2 linked regions of the Arabidopsis thaliana genome follow. The protein of the gene in region 1 interacts with the protein of each later gene in a pairwise test. Each region holds a gene or a part of one and is shown on either strand. Other genes may lie near its edges.

Region 1 (4,395 bases):
CGCGCTTGAGATATGCAGGCGTGCAGCGGAAGTAGCGGATTACCGTCTAAAGAAGAGTAACATATCTGCAAAGAGTCAGCTGGTGATTATGGCAGATGTTGAAGTAGCCATTCAAGAGATGTTTCAGGCACCTCATATTCAAGTTATGAAGAGTGTATCGAAACTGAGTAGGATCTTCTTGACGGCTATGGTTCATGAGCTTTACAAAACAGGAATGGCAGAGACAAGCTTTGACAGAGTAGCAACAACAGTATCGTCTATTTGCTTAACCAATGGTGAAGCTTTTCCCGGTTGGGACATTCTTCTCAAAATCGGTTGTGATCTTGGTGAATGCAGAATCGTTCTTTGTGAACCTGGAGAGAAGCACAGATTGCAGAAGCTGCAGCTTAATTTTCCAAGTGATGATGTTGCTTTTGCATTGAAAGACAATAAGGATCTTCCATGGTTGGCCAATTACTTGTGATTTTTTGCTAGTTTAAGGAAAACTTTGGAGAGATTGATAATGTAACACAGTTTGATTTCTGGAGTATAAACTATAAATACAGTTACAACACAACCATAATGCCAAAGCCACACGAATCAAAGTTTCTTCACAAGTGGATCTGTAGATGACATAATATCCAACATGAGACAGAAAGCTCTCTTTATTGTATGCTTAGTTTATAGAAATCTGATGCATAAGACTGAGAATCCTCTAGGCTGACGCGTCTATGACACCACCTTCATTCACCTTCACGAAATTATCGATGTACTCTTTCCTGTAAAATAGCCGTTTCGATATCCATAAACAGCTTTTCTCGTGTCTTTTCTTGGATGAACTTTTGCAGAGTAAGTTTTTGATGAGACAAAAGGGGAAAACAGAACATTGTACCTTGCAGGGAGGTGGTCGTGTGGGCGATTGTATGGTGTCCAGACCGGTTCACCCACGAAAAGCCGCATTGCCTGCTCAACAAGATATTTCAATTTTCTAATCAACCAAATATATATATGATGAATTAACCACTCTGAAGAAGCTAACATTGCACCTTGATATAGTTGTCTGAGTCTACGGTGAAGCGATGATATATTCCAGCAGGTAAGACTATCATACCTCCCTTCTTTACCCATACTCTAATCCAAGCTTCATTGCGATCCCTCACATCAAAGTAACCTTTTCCCAAGAAAATGAAACGTTGAGAATATAGATACCGACTTAAATCAAGTAAAGCAGCCAATAAAAGTACTTACCGCTTCCTGCAACGCAGTAACGGATCTCTTCATCAGTGTGCAAATGTTCTTCGAAAAAGCTCTTCACTTTCACTTCATAGTTTGGAAGCTTTTCCGGGCATACCTCACAAAAGTCCTGCATTTTGAACACTTTTCCATCATCAAACCAAGACTCAAGCACATAAAACAATTTGCAAATCATCAACGAATTTTCCTAAATACATTCAGTAGAGTAAGTGTTACAATTGAGTAAAACCCTAGAGAGTTAAAACAAGACTTGTTCAAAAGTAAACATCTAGCATTCAAGTCTATATAAACAAACCATGTAAGAGTAACCACGAGATTCGCGGATCTTTTTCAAATCCTCATCGGTTTCATAGTTATCAGCATCAAGTCTCCAGCTAAGTACTCCCAGCTCTGCACACAAACATTACATCTGAAACAAATAGAGAAACAGAGAGAAGAACACTGAATTGAAACACACAAAGAGACCTGCAAGTTTGTCCAAAGATAGAAACTCCTTAGGATCCTTGTGGTGAGGAAGTCTCTGATCCTCTTCGCTATCATCCATATACCATGCCTGGATCACTTCTTCTCTTCCATCCTAAGCAAAAACACACATACACAAACACAACAAGAAAACATAAATTTATGATGCTAAGCTTGAAAGAGAAACAAAAAACGTTCAGCAATTAGTGAAATTTTCGATTGCAACCTCCAAGACAAAGCCTGAATTTCATACACAACAAGTGAAACTAGAAAACATCAAATTTGATGATTAAAATAAAACAAAAATCAAAATTGGAATAGTGATCAGTGATTGAAGACCACTTAATTAACAATCGGCGGCGATTCATGTTTTCATAGCTGAAACAAGAAATTTTCCGATGAGCTTTCACGAAATCAGAATCAGAAGCAAGAGATTTACGATTACCTTAACCACTTCACCCATGGTTGTTTGTTCCTCTTCTTCTTCGTCTTCTTCGTTAGGCTTTTTATGATTCCTCTTCGTCTTCAAATCCACGCGATATATGCCTTCTCTCCTTTTCAAAAGAAGTCATTTTCGTTTTATCTTTTGGGACAAAAACAGAGAAAAAGGTTAAAAGACTAAACTACCCTCCATCCGCCGGCGTGCGGCGAGGGAAATGCCGCCTCCACATATATCCGTTTCAGACTATTTATCACATTTTTGAGGTTTGAGAAAATGTAAATACGTTAGTTAGAGTGGTAATTATTGTAAAAAAGTTAACAAAGTTAAAAGTTAAAAACTGGGTTAAAAATGGACAAAAGAAGAGAAGTTTGGTGGTGTCAAAGTAAGACTCGAGTCGAGAGTAAGAAACACTTTGGCTAAAAGGTCTCTCTCGTTAAAAGTGTCAAGTAAGACATCATTTACACATTACAACACCTAGAAAATGAAAGCCCTTCTTTCACCTCTCTTGTCTCTACTCTCTGTGACTATATCCTCACAAAAAGAATCAGAAACAAGAAATTACCACTAACCTACTAAGCTCTACTCAAAACTATAGACCAAAAATTATGGGTGCAAAACCCCGGAAACACAAAAGAAGGCCGATCCGAAGAGAGGTTTCTTTTCTTCATATCTTTGAGCTTACAAGCAAGCAACTGTTTCAACGCCTATTCACAGCTTATAGCATCTCCACGTTTCGGTATCTTGTTAAATGCCTGGAGACCAAGCGAGGAGAGTTATGAGGGAAATCATCCAAACCACTGATTTAACAAAGCTTTATATATGATTCTCTTCTTACCTTCACTGTTTAGATCAACTGAAAGATTGGGACTTTTTGTCTGGCTTTCAGGTGACTGGCTATGCAGTGGAGATCCGGTGCAGCCTAGGTTTTGCGAATATGCAGCTTTCATCCGTGGCTGACAATTCAGAAACATCTCCAAGCTAGAGGACGCAACTCCTGGACACTTTTTGGCCTTTGAGAATTTTCTGCACATTACGAAAACATATCAGTTTATAGCGATTTTGGAATAAGCGTAAGTATATAAATGCACCTGTCTTTCCGCTTTTCACGATATCTTTGCAAAGATACCTTTCTGTTCGCCTGGCCCTCCATACCTTAAGAACGACCCAAAAAACATAGAACGACGGTTAGATTAATAAACTTCACAGGTCATATAACATGCAGAACAACAAGCAAGCCAAGTTTCCTCCAAGTTAACAACATTAGCATAGCTTTGCACAGGTGAAGATGTGTTGATCAAGTTTCGCTCCGAGAATCATTAAGGTAATATGAATACTGTTCATACCAGAATCACGAGAAGAATTCGCCTTCTCAAGGCCTTTTTGGGGAAGTTCCATCATCTTCTCTGCAATAAGATTTCACATTTTCAATTTGATTTTTGACTAATTCAAACTAGACTCTGAAGAAGGAAAGTGGAATCACTATCACAAAAACATGCAAGAGGCATTTGGATATTTTACGCAAGGTAGTATAGCACAATGCAACATTTAGACATACTTCCTTGGTCAACTACCCATGCCTCCTTTCAAAGTTGGACAAAACAAAAGCAGTGTTTGCAAGAAGAGAAAATAAATAAAAAAGCTCTACTGCGTCAGAAAAGCTGGTCCATGAACTTTTTCCAGTTTGATGATACACAAAACAAAATCATTTCATGTTTGAATCATCTATCTATCAACTGAAAAACAGATCAGACACTTTAGCAAAAGCTTACCTTTACTTATGAGCTTTGAAATCATTCTACTGGAAGCAAAAATACCGTTTTCAGGCAAATCAATTGGATTGGCTGCAAAGTGCATGATTGACCGGGCCTGCAAACCAATACAAAGGATGAATGATCAAAAACATGCCAACAAAATTTCTATTTTCAGACTGGACAGAATAATGTTATTGATTTACCTTTTCAGGTGGTATTCCATCATACACATTCACTTTTCCACTATAGAATATCGTCATTTGCCCAACGAGCTCACTTGTTTCAGCTGGGCTTCTGATGCAAGATTACAGACAAGAATGTTTAATATGCTTGTAGAACAACAGGCACATGCAGCAAAACCTTTTCTTAAGCTTTCGTAGATGGACTAGGGAAAAAACCCTCTAACTTACAAAATATCATTAAGGAATTCAAGTAACTAATTATTATTTCAAGTCACATCAGTCATATTGACTATTATTTTCCATTTCTAAAGAGATCCAGGATACT
Region 2 (4,906 bases), on another chromosome or scaffold:
CATTTATAGCAAATCGGCTTTGTCCACATCAAAGATAACTAATAAATAGACTTATCCAAAACACTCAAAAGCAATACATTTCTATCCAAAAATATTAAACCCCAAAAATATAGACAGCATAAAAGCATCCTCAAGCTTCAGCTATTCATCACAACTATTCTCTCCTCTCTCTTTTTTTATTAAAAAAGCTCAAATTTATATAGGTTTTTTGTTCACAAAATGGATTATAACCTTCCAATTCCATTAGAGGGTCTCAAAGAAACGCCACCAACGGCTTTCTTGACGAAAACATACAACATAGTGGAGGATTCAAGCACAAACAACATAGTTTCATGGAGCAGAGACAACAACAGCTTCATTGTTTGGGAACCAGAGACTTTTGCCCTAATTTGCCTCCCTAGATGCTTTAAGCACAATAATTTCTCCAGCTTTGTTAGACAGCTCAATACTTATGTACGTAACTACTTTTGAGTTTTTGTCTTGGTTATTTTGATCTTCATTAAAAATTAAATCTTTGTTTAATGATCTGTAGGGGTTTAAGAAGATTGATACAGAGAGATGGGAATTTGCAAATGAGCATTTTCTGAAGGGAGAGAGGCATCTTCTTAAGAACATCAAGAGAAGAAAGACATCATCTCAAACGCAAACGCAGTCGCTAGAAGGAGAGATCCATGAGCTGCGAAGAGACAGAATGGCTTTAGAAGTAGAACTGGTTAGACTGCGACGAAAACAAGAAAGCGTGAAGACATATCTGCATTTGATGGAAGAGAAACTGAAAGTCACAGAAGTAAAGCAAGAAATGATGATGAATTTCTTGCTAAAGAAGATTAAGAAACCGAGTTTTTTACAGAGCTTAAGGAAACGTAATCTGCAAGGAATCAAGAATCGAGAGCAAAAGCAAGAGGTGATCTCAAGCCATGGTGTTGAGGATAATGGAAAGTTTGTTAAAGCTGAGCCAGAAGAGTATGGTGATGACATCGATGATCAATGTGGAGGTGTGTTTGATTATGGTGATGAGCTTCACATAGCTTCAATGGAGCATCAAGGACAAGGGGAGGATGAAATTGAAATGGATAGTGAAGGAATTTGGAAGGGTTTCGTGTTGAGTGAGGAGGAGATGTGTGATTTAGTGGAACATTTTATATAATAAACTAATGTATTATGAGAGGTTTTTTTTTGTTTTTTTGCTTTTTTTTTCCGAGTTTGTCATCAAGCATTGTATACAATTTGGGCCAAACTAAAAGCCCAACAAAATATTTGGCCTTGGCATTTGTTAACAAATTGACTAATTCGGCCACACCTTCCACTCCATTGATTGTTCAAAGACGTCTATCAACATTTTATTTCTCCTGAGCACTAACTATAAAGTATTTACATTTTTACACAAATTTTATTGCTGTCAATTTTAAAAAGTAGCTAAAATACGATACAATTATTTTAATTTAAGTCAGTTATACGTTTCGATCGAAGCGCGTGACGAATCGAACCGTTGGATTGACCTTTTATTTAAGAGATATTGCCTTTTATGATCACCCATGTGGCTTTCCTCGATTTAATTTTATTTTTAATTATTAATAATCGAGTGCACGTACTCGCCACGTCATTTTCATGACTTTATTTTTATAAATCTTATCCTCATTTGTACCATTAGATTCTTCCCTCAAATAAAGCCTTTTTTATACGTTACTACTAAATAAATTAATTCCTCCATCTTAGGAAAATTTTCTCTAATTAAGCGACAACTTTCTAATAAATACTGCATTATCAAACGCACCTAATATTACACAAACGATAATAAAATGGATACTTTTCAGATATGTTTTCAAAATCGTTTATCTATTTAATATTATTACACTACCAATAATATCCAGCATTTGCAATGAATGTAATTACGTAATTAAGTCCTATTTTACACGTCTACTAAATTTATAAACTTTTTATCATAAAAATAGTTATTACATTCCAAAAATTACTAGTAACATTCCTATAAATTGCGTTACTATTTATCCAAACAAATTACTATTTTTACAATCTACATTGCCTTATCAAAAGTTTAAAATCAGATAATTGTGATTCCGTTTAAAGATATGATTATCCATCTAATTAACTCTTTTTTATTAACCTCATTGAGAAAAAAGAAAAATATCCAAAACTTTCTTATCCTCTTGAATCACGACACGTGTCAATAACGTAGGGGTAAAATAGTAATCACGTATATCCTACAAGATTCCTTTATAGCCTTCCCGGTCTTTCTTCACTTTTTTCCTCATCATTTTCTCGTTTGCTCCATTTTTTTCTTCTTTCTGCAAATTTTATTTTCCCGAGAAAATCATCACTGAGAAAAATGCTCGCTGTGTTTGAGAAGACGGTGGCGAATAGCCCTGAAGCTTTACAGAGTCCACACTCGTCTGAGTCTGCTTTCGCGTTGAAAGATGGATCTCTCGCTACTCATTTCGCTTCCGTGAATCCCAACTCCGTCACGCTTAACTTCGGATCTTCTGGATTTGTTGCTTACTCTCTTGATAATCCTGATCCTCGTGTTCCTAGGTCAATTTCAAGTCCTCTTCTCTTTGATTATATGCTTGATCTAGTCAAATCTTTGTTGTTTCTTTGATTTCTAAGTAGTAGATTTTGAATCTCCGATGTTTTCGGTTTCGATTTTGTTTATTTCTGGAATCTTCTTGATTTGATCTGCGATAATGTTGGATATATTCGCTATTTTGCTGCAGATTTACTTGGATTGACTTTATTTGGCTTGCGATCTAGGATTTATGGTTTTTGGCTTGCTTGTGTTGGTACTATAGCTTGATGATGATGATGATGAACAGTAACGGTAGATTTTACAAACTACATTAGATGATGATGAGATAACAGTAGCTAGTGATTTTTGGTAGAATCTGGGATTAGAGATTCTACAGCTCCACTAGATGATGATGATGATGATAATGTTATTGTTCTACAAAGTAGATTAGATGATGATGATAATGTTATTGTTCTACAAAGTAGATTAGATGATGATGATGATATTATTGTGAGCTATTGGAGGAATACGGAACTACAGAGTCTATTTAACTCTATTTTTCATCGATAGAAGATGATTGAAAAGATCTACACTGGATTAGAGTAATCTGTGGCTCTTGATTTTGTATATTTGGTAATGTGATTTGGTTTCTATTGAATTTGACAGATTATTTGCTGTGGTGGATGATATTTTCTGTCTCTTCCAAGGACACATTGAGAACCTACCGTTTCTGAAGCAGCAGTATGGACTGAACAAAATCACAAACGAGGCCATCATTGTGATTGAGGCTTACAGGACACTACGTGATCGAGGTCCTTACCCTGTGGACAAAGTTGTTAGAGATTTCCATGGAAAGTTTGCGTTTATACTCTTCGATAGCGTCAAGAAAACTGTCTTTGCTGCTGCTGTAAGTCCAGCAGCTATACATTCTTGATCTCAATGTTTAAGTCGCGGAACTTGATTTACTTGTTGTCAATGTGCAGGACGCCGATGGGAGTGTGCCGTTCTTCTGGGGAACCGATGCTGAAGGGCACCTTGTGTTTTCTGATAACACCGAGATGGTGAAGAAAGGTTGCGCCAAATCTTATGGTCCTTTCCCTAAAGGTACCAACTTTACTCCAAATGTTTTTGACTCTTTTTAAGATAAATAGAATTTACCTATTAGAAAGATAGGTATTAAGATTTTGATAATCTGATCCAAGACTTTGGTTGTTTGTGTGATTGTTGTAGAGCAGCAGTTCACTAAATGATTATATGGCTTTTTTTTTGGTGTTTGAAGGTTGTTTCTTTACGTCGTCGGGTGGATTGAGGAGCTTTGAGCACCCAAAGAACGAGTTGAAGCCAGTGCCGAGAGTGGACAGCTCAGGTGACGTGTGTGGTGCAACCTTCAAGGTTGACGCTGAGACTAAGAGAGAGGGTACCAAAATGCCTAGAGTCGATAGCTCCCAAAATTGGGCCGGTCATATCTAAACCGGAAATCATACACAAATCACAAGCTCAGCATCTTCTCCCTCTTGTCTTGTCCCCTCTCTTTCGTTACATGTTTGAGTTACATTGAGAAAATAATTTCAAACCACAATGTTCTAAACGCGTTTATGTACATGTTTGAGGTGGGATTTGGAAAGGATGTCGAGTTTTGTGAAACTTTGGAATTACGAGACTACTAGACTTTTGTTTCTCTGTTTACGTTTCTTAAATCAATAAATAAATAAGTTTTTATTTCATCATTTGTAAATGCTTTTTGCGCGAAGTTTTTATTCCATTTTTATACACAAGGAAAAAGTGGAAAACATAAATTGATGTTATGCTTCAATTCAGTTTCTCACGTAAGCTAAGGAAGGTTCGGACCATTGATCATAAGGGAAGGGATTGTTAAGATGAGAAACCATATTAAGAAACTATCGGTAAACTATCACAAACTTTGTTTGAAATCGTCCATGCAAGGATCATGTTCATTTTTAACAATTTTTACATTTGAGATGTTGGTGCTGCCATCGCAGTTGTTGGCGCCACCACCAACTTAAACGCATTTGCATTTTCCTATTGATTATAATGAAGATGTTTAGCAAATTGATAGTACGAGTGATTGATGTTACGTCCATATGATCTTTACCAGTAAATATATTGTCTATCATTAATCCTTGCTAATATCACTTGATAAAGGTTAAGAACAAAAACAGTCACTCTTTATACATCATTTGATCTCTTCCGCGAATATGACATCGAAAATGTGTTGTACTGCACAGTGGATATCATAGAGAAGCTAAAATCAGACTCAGACCTTTAGAAAGATTTACATTTAAGAATAACAGTCGAACAAGAATGTGAGTTTTTTGTCAATGTGATACCTTCATCTTTCGGGATATTCGGCTGATCAACCACGAG

What was found.
Region 2: the proteins of ATARD2 (region 1) and AT5G43830 interact in a two-hybrid assay, tested with the Arabidopsis thaliana proteins (2 studies listed by BioGRID).

The regions. Positions count from the first base shown.
Region 1 is NC_003075.7:8,424,203-8,428,597, forward strand, and holds ATARD2 (RmlC-like cupins superfamily protein), read right to left. Parts: upstream 2,270-4,395; 5' UTR 2,159-2,269; coding exon of another isoform or gene 2,141-2,158; exon of another isoform or gene 2,074-2,140; 5' UTR 1,973-2,073; coding exon 1,949-1,972; exon of another isoform or gene 1,811-1,948; coding exon 1,699-1,810; intron 1,624-1,698; coding exon 1,529-1,623; intron 1,343-1,528; coding exon 1,228-1,342; intron 1,151-1,227; coding exon 1,026-1,150; intron 946-1,025; coding exon of another isoform or gene 943-945; coding exon 872-942; intron 759-871; coding exon 695-758; 3' UTR 501-694; downstream 1-500. Other genes in the region: ORC1A (origin recognition complex 1), read left to right, coding at 1-463; PPD1 (TIFY domain/Divergent CCT motif family protein), read right to left, coding at 2,882-2,889, 2,973-3,160, 3,226-3,289, 3,481-3,540, 3,907-4,003, 4,092-4,182. UniProt on the Arabidopsis thaliana protein: Catalyzes 2 different reactions between oxygen and the acireductone 1,2-dihydroxy-3-keto-5-methylthiopentene (DHK-MTPene) depending upon the metal bound in the active site.
Region 2 is NC_003076.8:17,621,678-17,626,583, reverse strand, and holds AT5G43830 (aluminum induced protein with YGL and LRDR motifs), read left to right. Parts: upstream 1-2,224; 5' UTR 2,225-2,344; coding exon 2,345-2,547; intron 2,548-3,187; coding exon 3,188-3,428; intron 3,429-3,504; coding exon 3,505-3,625; intron 3,626-3,800; coding exon 3,801-3,991; 3' UTR 3,992-4,328; downstream 4,329-4,906. Other genes in the region: HSFA6A (heat shock transcription factor A6A), read left to right, coding at 220-453, 533-1,147; AT5G43822 (Pentatricopeptide repeat (PPR) superfamily protein), read right to left, coding at 4,716-4,759, 4,870-4,906.